2 linked regions of the Pelodiscus sinensis genome follow. The protein of the gene in region 2 interacts with the protein of the main gene of each other region in a biochemical or structural test. Links are inferred from orthologs where the notes say so. Each region holds a gene or a part of one and is shown on either strand. Other genes may lie near its edges.

Evidence for each region.
Region 1: the proteins of PARP1 (region 2) and APLF form a complex in vitro, tested with the Homo sapiens proteins (3 studies listed by BioGRID and IntAct, with this or other methods). The link is inferred for Pelodiscus sinensis from reciprocal best matches to the Homo sapiens genes PARP1 and APLF.

The regions. Positions count from the first base shown.
Region 1 is NC_134713.1:181,608,261-181,615,489, forward strand, and holds the start of APLF (aprataxin and PNK-like factor), read right to left. Parts: upstream 3,002-7,229; 5' UTR 2,855-3,001; coding exon 2,762-2,854; intron 1-2,761. Other genes in the region: FBXO48 (F-box only protein 48), read left to right, coding at 4,683-4,988. UniProt on the Homo sapiens protein: Histone chaperone involved in single-strand and double-strand DNA break repair.
Region 2 is NC_134713.1:157,460,434-157,467,318, forward strand, and holds the start of PARP1 (poly [ADP-ribose] polymerase 1), read right to left. Parts: upstream 3,012-6,885; 5' UTR 2,843-3,011; coding exon 2,723-2,842; intron 1-2,722. UniProt on the Homo sapiens protein: Poly-ADP-ribosyltransferase that mediates poly-ADP-ribosylation of proteins and plays a key role in DNA repair.

The sequences.
Region 1 (7,229 bases), about 24 Mb from region 2:
ACAAAATACGTATAAAAGCTTTTGGTGAATTCAACACTATTTGCTAACTAAAGAAAGATACCATTGTGATTAAGCACTAAGTGCTAATATGGATAAGTGAAGCTGAGTAGAAGCCCTGGTCTACACTTTACATTTAGACTGACATAACTACCTCACTCAGGGGTGTAAAATTCACTCCTTCAACTCCATATTTCAGGCAACACTAAGAACTCCAACTTAAGAATTCTTCTACTGACCTAGCTACTGCCACCCAGTGAGATGGAATACCTGCAATGATAGAAACACCCCTCCACAGATGAAGGAAACATCTATACTACAGTGTTAAAGCAGTACAGTTGCACCACTGCAGCCATACTTCTAAACTAAATGTGTGAAAGGTTAACCAGTAAGCATCAGCTTAAATGGGTAATGCTTACCGATTCCACTTACTAGTAACCGGTGGGGGCTGCAGTAGCTTCCCACCTGCTGCAGGTGACCACTGTGGACAGGGGCTGCTCTCGTCCCAGCCCCCGCGAGGGAGGGACCCCTTCAGGCGCCCAGCCCTACTTCCAGCAGGGGGAGGGGCGCGGAAGGGAGGGGCAGGGACCAGCAGCCATGTGGGCTGCTCAAGCCAAGCTGTAGCAGTCCTCAGCTCAGATCATGCTTAGTCATTAACCAGTTAAACATTAGGTCAACCTAACTTAACATTTAACTTGTTAACTGATTAACTGGAATTTTACATCCCTACTCCAAATTACAAATCCCTACTTCAATAATTACAAAATTAAGATTGTTTAAAGATACCTATGAAGGGACAATGCCAAATTAAGTCGCATCTAAAATACTATTACCAGCTCATGGTTACAGGTATACTTCGAAGTATACTATTGAGAACATTGTTTCACTTTAAATGTGCACTCAATGCTTCAGAAATAGTGATTTTTCTGGAGAATGCCCTCATGTGTTCTAAAGCACTGTTTCTCAATGATGGGTTGTAGGCCCAATACTGAGAAGCCACAGGTGGGCTTGAAAAGTGAGTGTATCCTGCTCTCACTTGCAGAAGCAGCTCCTGCCCCAACAGGCTGAGCCTGATTCCACATTCAAGCGTTGTGAGCTGACATGCAGGAGGCATCCCAATTTCACCCACACATCAGAACAGCTAGATAGCCAGGAATCCAGCATGCCAGGTCAACAACACGCAGGGCCTTGCCCAGTGAAACTAGAACCACTGCGGAAGCATGCATGTGAGGCAGGGTTGCTCACTAACTGCCTCTAGGGCAGGGCCTCCCCTCCGCATTAGGCTGGGATTAAGGATGAAATATCAGGGCAGCATCAGGTACTACCACAGGTAGTCAGTGCCCTGACAGCATGGCAGTTGATGATGGCACCAGCCTATGATTTTACTCCCATTGCAGATGGCTGATCCTGGCCAAACAGTGAGAGCTGCAATCATCAGTATCTGCAGCCATGTAGGCAAATATAGTGGTGGGAGCCCACCAGGAGCTAAACCTGGTAGACTGATATTTGCAGACCCCTCACCTAGAGGATTCCTGGAAGGGCTATAAAACCTCATTTAATATGTTAATCCATTTAGCTATATGTTTAACTGGTTATCCAGTCCACCATGTTGCACCACTGCCAGGCTTAAGCACCCCTTTCCCGTGGTGTGCTGTGGATGGGGTGGGGGGCTGCTCTAGCCAAGCACCAGTCAGCCAGTTACCCCTTTATATCCCTAGTTCCTGGCACCTGTAATATCCAGGACATTCTGAGGGAAAGAGATAGTGGCATGCAAGCAACCCTATACAAGCCTGGACTGAGGCATCCGGCTGTTTCTCCCTCTGGATCCCTGACCTCGAACTACGGGGGAACAGGGAGGAGGATGTAAATATCTGGGAAGGGGCTGTGGGTGTCTGGGAAACAACTGGGAAAGGGGGCAGAGAAACCCCTATGAAACAATTCATGATTGAATACTTGACACCTGGGGGAAGGAAAAGATAGTGTATGTATTGTTACAATCAGACATATTTGCTGGCATAGGCATCTGATGCCTGAGAGGGGAAGGGGTGCAGAAAGGAAGCACCCCATTTAACCATCAAAATTTTGGCAGAGGTATGGGGAGCAGGGCAGTGAACCTCTTGGGTGTTACCACAACTTTCCTATGCTTGGTGACAAGTATTTTGAAATTAAAAAAATACAAAAAATAATCAAAACTGGCATGATTATGTAGTGTTTTGACAAATACAATTTGCAAAATTTTATAGAACTTTAAAATATTTTGCTCTGAAATGTTCCCCGCCCCCCCCACGCGCACAGAATTTAATTTCTTGGCACAGAATGTCTCCAGGAGTAGTTAGACCCCACATTTCATCTCATTTGGAGCAGAATCCAGACAAAGGTGTTGCTACAGAACGGGGCAATGCAAAACAGCACTGCCAACCCGTGCGAGGGATCAGTCTCCTCATGTTTCGAGTGTCTCTTAACGCCCAGCTCCCGGAGTCACGTTAAAAGGGAATCTCAGTTACAGCGGGGATAGGCTTGCAAAGAGGAGGGGGGCTGTGATTCCGCCTTCCCCCGCCAGGGGGTGAAGTCCGAGGACCCAATGGTCCCTTCCGGCCCCAGAAGCCCCCCCGGGATAATGTGAGGGGGATAATCGCTCCCTCACGGGAGAATCACAGCGCCTGGCCCAGCCCGAGGCGGCTCCCCGGCCGGAGACGGGGGGAGAGGGGAGCTGCAGCGGGAGCGGGGGCGGGGACAGGGAGCCCCCCCGAGGAGCCAGACTTACTCCCAACAGGGGGCCTCTTCCCAGCACGGTCTGGCCGGGCGGCAGCGCCAGCGGGCAGCCCCCGTCCGCGGGCGCGAGCTCGAAGCCCGGCATGGGCCCCGCGGGCGGGACAGGGCGCGGCCCCCGCTGCCCCTTTGCACTTTTCTTGAGCCAGGTCGGGAGGCTTCTCGCCCTTCCGCTTCCCTCTGGGGCGGCCAGCTAGCGGGCGCGTCTGGCTACCGCCCTGTGCGTTCAGATCGCCGCCCCGCCCGGAAACGGTAGTTCCCAACTCTCCCCCGCGCCGCCCGGCCGCGCTTCAGCGTCCCCGCAGGCAAACTACAAGTCCCGGCGTGCCCCGCTGCGGCGCATGCGCGGGGTCCTGTTTACCTTGGGAAGGGTGGAAACAAGCCCGTTCGAATGGGGGAGACGTTAAAACCGGCAACGGCGGGCAACGGCGCGGGGCCAGGTAGGGGGCGGACTGCTCCACGCGCCTGGGCCGGGGGCTGCTGCGGGGAGCGCTGGCTCCAGCCACGCCCTGGGCTGGGGAGTTCCGCAGCAGGGCCCAGGCTGGCAGCGGACGCAGGGCACCGTCTAACGCGGGCGGGAGCCACCGGCCCACAGAAAAGCCGCCAGGGCCACCCACACGTGAGCAGCCAATAAAACGAGCCCCTCGCATCACACTCGGCCCCTGGGGGCGGGGGGCTTCCCCCATTCCCCACCCGCGTCTACTCCTCGCCCAGCTCATGGGGGCGGGGGCAGCCTAGCCTGGGCACAGGGCATCGCCCACGGCTCGAGTGATTGCCATGGAGCTGCCCATAGGCACCAGTGTTCAAATCCCCACCTCACCCAGCATCCCAGCAGTGGTCGTCTCCAGCTCTCCTCCATGCCCCCCCGGCTGGCTTCAGTGTCGCCAGATGGAAGCTACAAGTCCCAGAGTGCCCACAGGCGTGGGGCCTATTTTCTTTAGCAAGCCACTGCCCAATAGGCTGTGAACAAGCCCATTCGGGTCGCACCTAGGGGCAGCAACACAGGGCCAGGTAGGGTGCACAAGGCACTCTGTACTTGCTCCACACATTTCCCTATGTGCAGGGGCGGCCTATCCATATAGGCAAATCGCCTAGGGCGCCAAGTTAAATGGGGTACCAAATGGTGACACAATATCGTTGAGGGGTTTGGAGGTGGGGGCACCGATTTGCAAGGTTCGCCTAGGCCGCTCCTGCCTATGTAGAATATGGGACACCGGGGAGGGGGCTGCCAGTGCTCAGAGTTTCAGCCTCACTGTGTGGGTGCAGCCACCAACACTCAGTGCTTCAGCCCTGCAGCGGAGTGGGAAGGGGGGCTGCTGGCACTCAGAACTGCAACCTTGTAGGAGGGGGAGGGGAGGACCACCACCAGCATGCAGAGCTTCAGCCTTGTAGTGGGCGGGGGAGGGAGGAGCAACCACTTGCGCTAGGGGCTTCAGCCCCATAGCTGGGGGAAGCCACTGGCACTCAAGGCGTCAGTGTTGCAGGGGTGGGACAGAAGCCACCAGTGCTCAGGATTCCAGCAGCCAAAGCTCTGACTGCTGGTGGCTCCCCATCCACCCTGCCCCACTGCAGCGATGAAGTTCACCCCCACAACATGCAGAATGGGGAAGGAAGGGGAAGATACCAGGCCCTGAGTGCTGTCAGTTCCTTCTCCCACCCCCTGCAAGGGAAATTTGGGATAATGTGCCCACTTTTTTTTTTTCCTACAAAGTCAGGACTGAAGGAGGCGGCCTTAAATAAGGGACTGTCCCAGTAAAAACAGGACAGATTGTCACCCTATGCTTGCAGCACTTGAACATATATCCTTAAGCATTAGAGTTATCTTGATAAAAGTTAACTGCATGTATAATATAAGTGACCCCTGCACTTCTTCACCCCTAGGATTACTCATGGTGGATGTGTGGAGACCATAAATTATGCAGAAAACCTCAAAGAAGAACAAACAGGAAGGTACTTCATGTAAAGAACGGACCATCCTTCCATCATCCAAAAAGAAAGAAGAAAGTCAGGAGGACTTTGTGGAGCTGCTGCCTCCAGAAGTCACCTTGAAAATTTTCAATGAACTGGACGTTCAGAGCTTATGCAAAGCTGCAATGACTTGCAAGAGCTGGAATCGCACAATTGAGAACAGTGACCATTTGTGGAAACATCACTGTTTAACTGTAAGAGCTGTCTGTCAGCGAGAGATAGACTTTGATCGAGGAAATGGATATTCATGGAAGGTAAATTAAAGGCCATGGACTGTCTAGCTTTGGGAACCTGGATAGCTTTGGGAATCAGTATTAAGATGTAAGGTTCTCTCCTTATCAGTATTTCTGATCCATCCACAGTGAAGAGAAAAATTAAAGTTATCTAATACCTGAAGCTTGTGAGCTCTCAGGGCTTGTCTACATTACAAAATTAAGTTGACTTAAGTCAGTGTACAAGCCACCAGTGGTTCACATGCACACTTGCTCCTTTGGTTGGTGGTGCATATCCCCACCAGGAGTGCTTCACCAACTGAAGTGGTACATAATAGGACACAGCTGAAGCCCACCAGCCTATGGTAACACTGGCATGGCACTCATTGCTGGCCCACTGTCAGCAGGGTACAATGGCCTCAGCTACAAGCCAGCATCTACAGCTGACAAGTGTAGCTATCATCACCAGAAAAGAGGACTACAACTAACAGCTCCCACTGGGGTTGATGGCCAACCAGCTGTGTCAGTTAATCAGTGTCTTAACTGCATTAACAAAAGAACTATACCCCTCGTGGAGTTAGAGTTATGTTGGCATAGAAAGTGACTTATTTTGGCAGAAGCAGTATTCTAATGTAGACATTGACATAATTAGGTGAATGCAAGTCATCTTGCATCAACCTAAGTACCTAACCTTGTAATATTGACCAGGCCTTAGTGACAGTGTCACAACAACCATCACAAATGGCAGTCTCTGAAGCTCTGAAGAGATGGCAAAACAGTACCATAAAGAAAAATTAATTATCCTCTGTTCCCTGATAATAGATCAACCAGTTCTTGGATGGAACATATTGAGAAAGGAGGGCAGTTTTACACACCTGGTTAGAGCCTTGCAAATCTGAGAATATCTACTTTATATATGCAGGTATCAGCAACCATGGATCTGGATGCGGATATCCACAGCTCATTTTTGCAGATGCTGTTGTGGATTCAAATTTTGTATTTAGAAAACCCTGCAAGTTTGTATCTGTATCCATGGAAAATGGATGCCAGGGATGTAAAAGGTTAACCAGTTACCTGGTAAGCATTAGGCTTACTGAGTAACCGATTAACTGGACTGCCAACCCCTGCAGCACAGCAACAGGCTGGCCCCAGCCACGCTGCTAAATATGTTGAGTGAAATCCTATCAAGAAAAACAGTAGCAAATTCTCACAAGTGAGCTGTTAAATATAGGAAGGCTGAAATATAGAAAAGCTGAAAGATTGAAACACAGCTATCCAAAGATTCTGAGTAACAGCAAAAACATTTAAATACATCAAAAGCAGGAAGCCTGCTAAACAACCAATGGAGCCACTGGATATTCAAAATGCTAAAGGAGAGTTCAAAAATGATAAGGCCATTGCAGAAAAGCTAAATGAATTCTTTGCATAGGTCTTCACAGCTGATAAGTCACCAGGAGCATATGATATTCAGCCAACAGTTCAGAAGGAACTTAATTATGGAATAACAGAATTACTGTATTATGTAACCTAGGTTTTGTCTCCATTGCCAGCTTTGCTGGCAGAGGGTATGCAAATGAAGCACAGATTAGCCTTTTGTTGTGCTTCATTTGCATAATCTATTCAAGCTGTTTTTGTGCAAAAAAAACAAAACAAAAAAAACCCCAGTGTGGACGTTTCCTTTTTGCGCAAATACACCTTTTTGCACAAGATCCTTATGCCCTTCTGGGAGAGAGAGAAAATGATATCCCCAAAGGATCTGAACTGAGTCCAATACTGTTTGACGTATTTATAAATGATCTGGAGAAAGGGTGACCAAATTTGCTGACAATACAAAACTACTCAAGATACATCCAAAACAGACTGCAGAGAGCAACAATGGGATCTCACAAAATTGTGTGACTGGACAACAAAATGGCAGATTAATTCAATCGTAGAATCCTAGAACTGGAAAGTACCTCAAGAGGTCATCGAGTCCAGTCTCCTTGGTCACAGCAGGACCAAGCAGTGTCTAGATCATCCCTGATAGATGTCTATCCAACCTGCTCTTAAATATCTCCAGTGATGAAGATTCCACAAGCTCCCTAGGCAATTTATTCCAGTGTTTAACCACCCGACAGGATGTTTTTCCTAATGTCCAACCTAAACTAGGATGTGAAGGACTAGTCAACTATTATCGGATAGTCAACAGGATAGTCGATTAGTCGCTCTCTCCCCTCTCCCCCCCTTTATCTGATAGTGGCAGCAAGGGGGGAGGAAGAAAAAGGGGTTCTTCAAAGCAGCAGC
Region 2 (6,885 bases):
AGGTGCAAGCCATAGAAGGAGCTGGTGGCTGCCCTACTCCCATGGCTGGCCTGCCTCTTCCCCCATGGTGGGGGGAGATCAACCCCAGTCTTCCCCCAGCTGGCTAGATGCCACCCCAGCCTTGGCAGGGGGAGGTGTAGTCGCACGCTCTGCACCCCCTCTGTGTACGGGTCTGATTGGGAAGCAGAGAATAAGGTAGAAAGGAATGGCAAGAGTAAAGTGAATAAAGTGAGGGCAAGAGAGGAAACAGAGCAGACACCAAAACAGATGGAGGAAAAGATACCTAGCTATATTGTGGTAGAAAGAAAAGAAGTGAAGAGAAAAGGAAGGAAGAAAAATATAAAGGCAGTTTAATAAATTGAGGTTTTGTGTTTTACAGAGCTAAATACCTACGTTACAACAAACAGCTCTATTTTGGGAGGGGAAAAAAAGGCATGCAGGAAACCTTTGCCATTCATGGGGGAACCTCCTATATTTAATGGAAACAACTAGAAGAGTATCAGTGCCTCTTGGGAAGCAGAAGGCTGCAAGCCAGTGGTGAATAAACTCAGTGGGAGTTGGACAGATTTTTCAAGCCCTACCCTAACGAGAAGAGATCTCCCTCCTGTGCTACTTTCACTCATAGGCAGAGCTAGACAAATAATGCAATCTACTCGCCAACCCAGAAGAGCTGGGTTCGGGCAATCTGCGCATGTGCAGATAGCCGGACAGCGCGGCTGGCAAGCAGGGCTCGCCGCAGTTCGGCGAGCCCTGCTCATAGAGATGTAGGGATCAGAACACAACCACACTAGGAATAGTTGGCACTTGGACATTATCTGAAAAGTCCCCTATTGAGGAATTTGTGAAGTGCTCAAGACTCTGGAATGTTATCTTATTTGGCTGAAGCAAAGGCAACAGCAACAGAAATTAGACCTCTCTCCATAAAGGGTCTGTGGTAGATGTTAAATTTCAATAGCTAATCGAGTAGTCGATGGAATTTCGACTACTTGATTAGTCGATAAGGGGGGCCGCCTGCGACTTGTGCATTTCAAAGGCAGAGGCACAGCTGGGAACCCTCGCGAGCATGGACTGTTTCGATCCCCACTTGCACCATTTCCCCACTGCGCATGGTGGGGGAGGGAGGGAGAGGGGAGAAGTGACTAGACATGTAGTGACTCTTCCCCATTAGGGATGTAAGTGATCACTACCGCAGGCAAGCCTAGGGTTATGTAAAATCCTGTTTAATCAATTAACTGATATGTCGTTTAAGAAGGTATTAATTCCAAGGACAGAAGAATGCCTCTGCACCAGGTTTAATCATGGATGTGGCCAAACTATAATTATGACACACGTGTTCCTGTGTGGACTGAAAAAAAAAGAAAAGAAAAAGAGTAATCATAACCACGTTTTAACCTTGGTAAATTCCTAGGTTTGTGTACACTAGCCTTCTGTGCAGCTTTGCTGTCTTGTCAGACCTGGCAACAAATGCATCTAACCAGAGGGAAAAATAGAGCAAGGTGTGAGAATTCACTGATAAGGTGGTAAAGCAGATTTCTTTACAAATGCAAAGATCAAAAAAGGGGAGAGAGGGAATGCTACTTGCCACTAAAAATAGGTTAAACTCATCTACAGACAGGAAGGAAGATTTGTGTATCAAACACAAATAGCATTGTCCAAAACACATCTTAAACTGCCCAGGAAAATGCCTTCAAAGTTCCTCAGCAATAATGGAAATTGAGTTCACACTTCAACTAAATGCCTCATTTTGACCTCCAGCCCTCCCCCATCTGCAATTATTTGTCTCCACATACAGGTCTCAAAGCTGCAGACTGAGGTAAACAGTTTTTTTTAAATTGTATCCTTGGGTATATATGGTCGAGACTATTTTCTTCCACTATTTGATCTGAGGAAGTGGGTCTGGCCCACAAAAGCTCATCGTCTAATAAACCATCTTGTTAGTCTTTAAAGTGCTACATAGTCCTGTATTTTGTTTGAGGTAAACAGAGCATTCCAATGTACTTTACAAATGATAAGCAATTCACAAAAAATATACTGAGGAGTAAATGGCCAATATTCCCCAGTGAGGAAGTGAATGTAGTTAGAGTCCAGTATCACATGGACTGAGATTCTATCAGGGATAGAATTTATACTGCTTTTCGTCAACTCTAAATAAATCATGCCTTCCTGTGAAAATCAGCTAAAAATTACACAACTAATTACTGTCAACCAAATAGAGAGAAATTAAAATGGAAGCCATCTAGCACATAACTTAAGGTTTTCTTTGCTTTCTGCCATCATCTAACCACAGCATCAAGCAAGCTGAGACAACGCAATGACTTGGGAATGATGACTCTGCCTTCTGCCTTTCATCTCGCATTCTCGCTCATTTCAAGGTATGGACTTCGAATGCCCCCTAGTCAGGGCAGCCGGAGATCACGTCACTGCTTCTGACTGATGTGCACCGATCACACCATCTTCTGCGGAAACAGCGATCCCCTCCAGCTTGCAAGAGCAGCCCCCCGCTCGCGACTCGGAACCCCGCTCAAGTCCGGCTGACCCCAGCCCGCCGCGCCGCGCGAGCCCCAGAGGCTGCAGCCGCGGAGCGCGAGCCGCGCTGCAAACCGAGAGGGATGAATGGGGCGGACGCTCGGCCCGGGGCGCCGAGGGGAAGGCGGCACGTGGCCGCTGCCGGCCTAGCCGCAGGGAGCTTGGGGGCGGTGCCGGCTCCCGGCCCACGCGGTACCTGCACCATGATGGCCAGGCGCAGCGAGTCCTTGGCGATGCTCTCCCCGCATTTCTTGCACGAGGCGCGGCCGCTCTTGGCGTACTCGGCCCGGTACAGCTTGTCCGCCGGCTCCGCCATGGCGAGCGCGGGCAGGGGACGCGCGGGAGCCGGCGGCAGCGAGCGCAGGCACCCGCCGCGCTAGCCGAGCGCCACGCAATCCACCCGGGCTCAGCCCCGCCGCTCGAGCCGCTGTGCAGCGCTCGACTGAGCCCCCTGGCCGGGCTCGGCGCGTGTCCCGGCTCGCTGCGCTGGAGCGATGGGAAGAAGGACGCAGCTTGGGGCGCGCGGGAAGGTGTCACATGGCAGCGCCTGCTCGGGCGCGCAGTGTAGGGGGCGGGGGCAGAGCGGAGCCCCGCCCCTTGGCCGCGTTGCTGCTGCAGCTGCCAGTCCCAGCCAGCGGGGCTGCTTAGAGTGGCTGCAGGCCGGGGCTGTGTGGTCTGCTGGCCTCTAGCCGCACAGCGCTCCCCTCCCCCCCCCCGTTCCTTGGCCGCCTGCTCGCTTCAAGGCGCTAGAACGTGTCCCTTGAAGTTAGAGCTGGGTGAGGCTGTTTGTACCCTCAGATCTAGCCCCTGCTTACAGCTGGGCTGATATAACCGGGCCAGAGATAAAACTCTCTGGCTCCAGGGGGTAAAACTCACAGGTGGAGGAAAATTCCACTGTTTTCCACAGAGCTCCTCCCACACCTTACCAGTCCCCCTCTGTCCAGGATCCACTTCATGGCTCTGTGCCTACATGAGTTGCTTTAGGGCAGGGGTCTCCAACCTTTTTAAGCAGAAAAATCATTTGAATTTAAGTGCAATCCAAGATTTACCTCAAATATAATTACTCTTGCCCCAACTTTCTCCCCCTTTATTTACGCACACCCAATCCGTGGCCCCACAAAGTCGCGAGACCTCCTCGTCAACCTCCTCCTGGCCTTAGCGAAAGCTGCCATTTATAATAGCAGGAGGAGGAAGTTAGACAAGGGGGTTCTCTGCAACTGTGGGGCCTATTTCTGCTCCTCCCTCGTGTCATGAATCCGGGCAGAGTTCCTCTGGGCGGCGTCCACTGGCTCCATCGACAGCTTTGAGGAGCAGTGGGCGCTGTCCGGGGTTCTCTGCTCGGTGTCCCCATCCGGCTCCCTTATTTTGAACCTCTAGCCCGCACTTCTTGATCCTTTAGTCATTATTTGTCCCAAGCAATCAGTTGGACATGGGTCCAGTGTCCCTCCCATAAGGTTGGGGAGGGGCTTTTAGAGCCACCATCCCATGATTTCAAATAGGCCCCCTCCATTCTCTGAGGCCCCACCCCTGCTCCATCCTCCCTCTCTTGCCCATCCTCACTCACTTTCATCAGGCTGGGGCAGAGAGTTGGGGTGCAGGTTCTGGTCTTGGATTAAGGGATCTGGAGCCACTCTTGGAGCAGGCAGCTGGGATGTAGGAGGGGTTCTAAGTGCAGGCTCTGAGGGGTGCTTGGGGTGCAGGGGAAGGTTCATGACCAATGTAGGAGTTCAGGATGTGGGCTCCACCTGGGCTTTGCATACCTAGGTGGCTCCTGATTGGTGATGTAGTGACCTACTCCTTAAAATAGCCAGCAAATTCCATCCCAAGTCTTGTTGTGCCCACTCTTTGCTTTGTGGAGAAAGGATACAGAGTGAGAGGGGACACCCTGATATCATCACTCCTCATCTTCCTCCCCTGCCCTGCCCAGAAAGTAGGTGGCTCCCCAGTGGGAGAGGCAGGAGATGAGCAGCAGTGTGAGGAGGGGCAGCTGAAGTGCTGGCACTTGATAGCCTCTTGGCCAAACCAGGCAGGATCACCTGTCAGAGGCTCCAAGAGCTAAGATTTACTGGTTGGTGACCACTGCTTTAGGGAATCAACACCCCTTTCCCAGCATGGGCCCAATGGCAACTAGCTAGTTCCTGATTCCTCTGAAAGGGGAAATTCTTCACTGTTGAGGGAACCGCAAAAACAGTTAATTCAGTCTCTGTGAAACTCATCACCACCAGACAGCAAGCTGGATGGACTGCGAGGCTACATCTACATTGCACAGTTATTTCAGAATAAGCTGTTCTGGAATAGTTATTCCAAAATAGCTTATTTCAAAATAGCATGTCTATACCGCAGGGAAGCCTAAAAATTAGTCCAAGGCAGGCTTCCCTAATGTAGACGTGCTATCTCAATTTAGAGCTCCAGAAGGAATAACTTAGAATGGCCCTGATAAGGGCCTATTTCATAATTGCAGCATTGGAGCATTTACACACACATTATTGCAATATAGCTATTTCAGAATAGGCGTTATTCTTCGTAGAATGAGTTTTACAGAAGTCAGAATATTTCAAAATAATTTTGAAATAGAATTGCTGTGTAGACACTCACATAGTTATTCCGAAATAACTTTGCTGTGTAGATACACACAAAGCAGCTGCTTTTGCGGAAAAACTTGCCAGTTGTCTATACTGGCTGCTTGAATGTCTGCAAGAACACTGACTTGCTACTGTATGAAATCAGTGTTTCTTGCAGAAATACTATGCTGCGCCCATTCGGGCAAAAGTCCTTTTGCGCAAAGTTTTTGACGAAAGGGCCAGTGTAGACAGCTCAGATTTGTTTTGCGCAAAAAAGCCCCGATCACGAAAAAGCGCGTCTAGATTGGCATGGAAGCTTTTCCACAAAAAGTGCTTTTGCGGAAAAGCGTCCGTGCCAATCTAGATGCTCTTTTCCTCAAATGCTTTTAACGGAAAACTTTTCTGTTAAAAGCATTTGCGGAAAATCATGCCAGTCTAGACACAGCCTGAGTGTTTCCAGGGATCAGGTGTGACCCATGCATTTACACATTCTCAGCTTCCTTTCCCTGATATGGGCCCTGAACCTGCAGAGAGTCCCCAGTGGTGGAGTATTGATGTTAATCTCCATAGAGTTCAGGGGAGATCTGCAGGTAATGAACCACTTCTGTCCTTTTATGTCAAGAGCATAATCTGACGCTGGGGGGGGGGGGGGGGGAATATGATTGTAAGGTTGAGGAAATTAGGTGGTGTACCACAATCCTTCCTTTCGTGCCTGCATTTTCTTACAGGCCTGGATGCTTTAGGCAGCCATTTATGCTTTTTGCTTCTTATTATTCTTTTGTTATTCTCAAAGGCTATGTCTACACTGGCAGGTTTTTGCACAAGAACAGTTGTTCTTGTGCAAGAAGCCGCAGAGCATCCACACTGCCCACCCTCTCTTGCGGAAGAAGATTTACAGTACAGCGTGGTAAGAGAGGCCTTCTTGTGCAAGAACTACGCTCTTTTTTAACAGGTATAAGCCCTCTTGCGCAGGGGCTCTTGTGCAAGAGGGCAGTGTGGACACTCGACAGCGGTTTCTTGCGCAAGAAAGCTCTATGGCTAAAATGGCCATCGGAGCTTTCTTGCTCAAGAGAGTGTCCACACTGCCATGGGCGCTCTTGTGCAAAAGCATAGCTCGCACATGGCAGTGTGGACGTTTTCTTGCGCAAGACTTCTTGCATAAGAACCCTTGCCTAAGATGTTACTACGCAAAAAGCCGCCAGTGTAGACATAGCCAAAGAGTTATCTGTTTGCTCAAGATGGTACAGTGTAGGAATGCACTGTTGACTTTCAACAAGTTTTGGGACAGCTCCCAAGGCCATGCACCTGGTATGGGAGTGCAGGAGGGCTTGGGAAGGTCACATAGATATCTGTGCTGAATGTTTCCAACCTGATAATGCTACTTACTTGGCCTAGGAAAATATACAAAGTATCAAAAAGCTAATTATTGGATGTGGGGAAAATATGCAATGTATCAACGATCTTGTTAGGTTCTCAAAACAACAGGGGTAATTCCTGTAGATCCAACAGTATATAAGTACCAGGGATATTCCTAACATTAGAACCTCGGCGTAGACCAAAGCCACAGAAGGTGCTATGTACTGGCCACTGGGGTCTGTCTGCTGTCCTTCTTCAGGGGGTTCCCGGCACATAGGCATTGCATTTTATTCTGAGGTTTGCTTAGGCTTAATGAGGATTGTATTTTCTTAATAAGTATTGTACTTTATTCTAAATTTGCTTCATTGTACTTTACTCTAATATTAAGCATTGTATTTTACCCTAATATTTGCTTGGTAAAATCTTTAAGCCTTCACCCAAT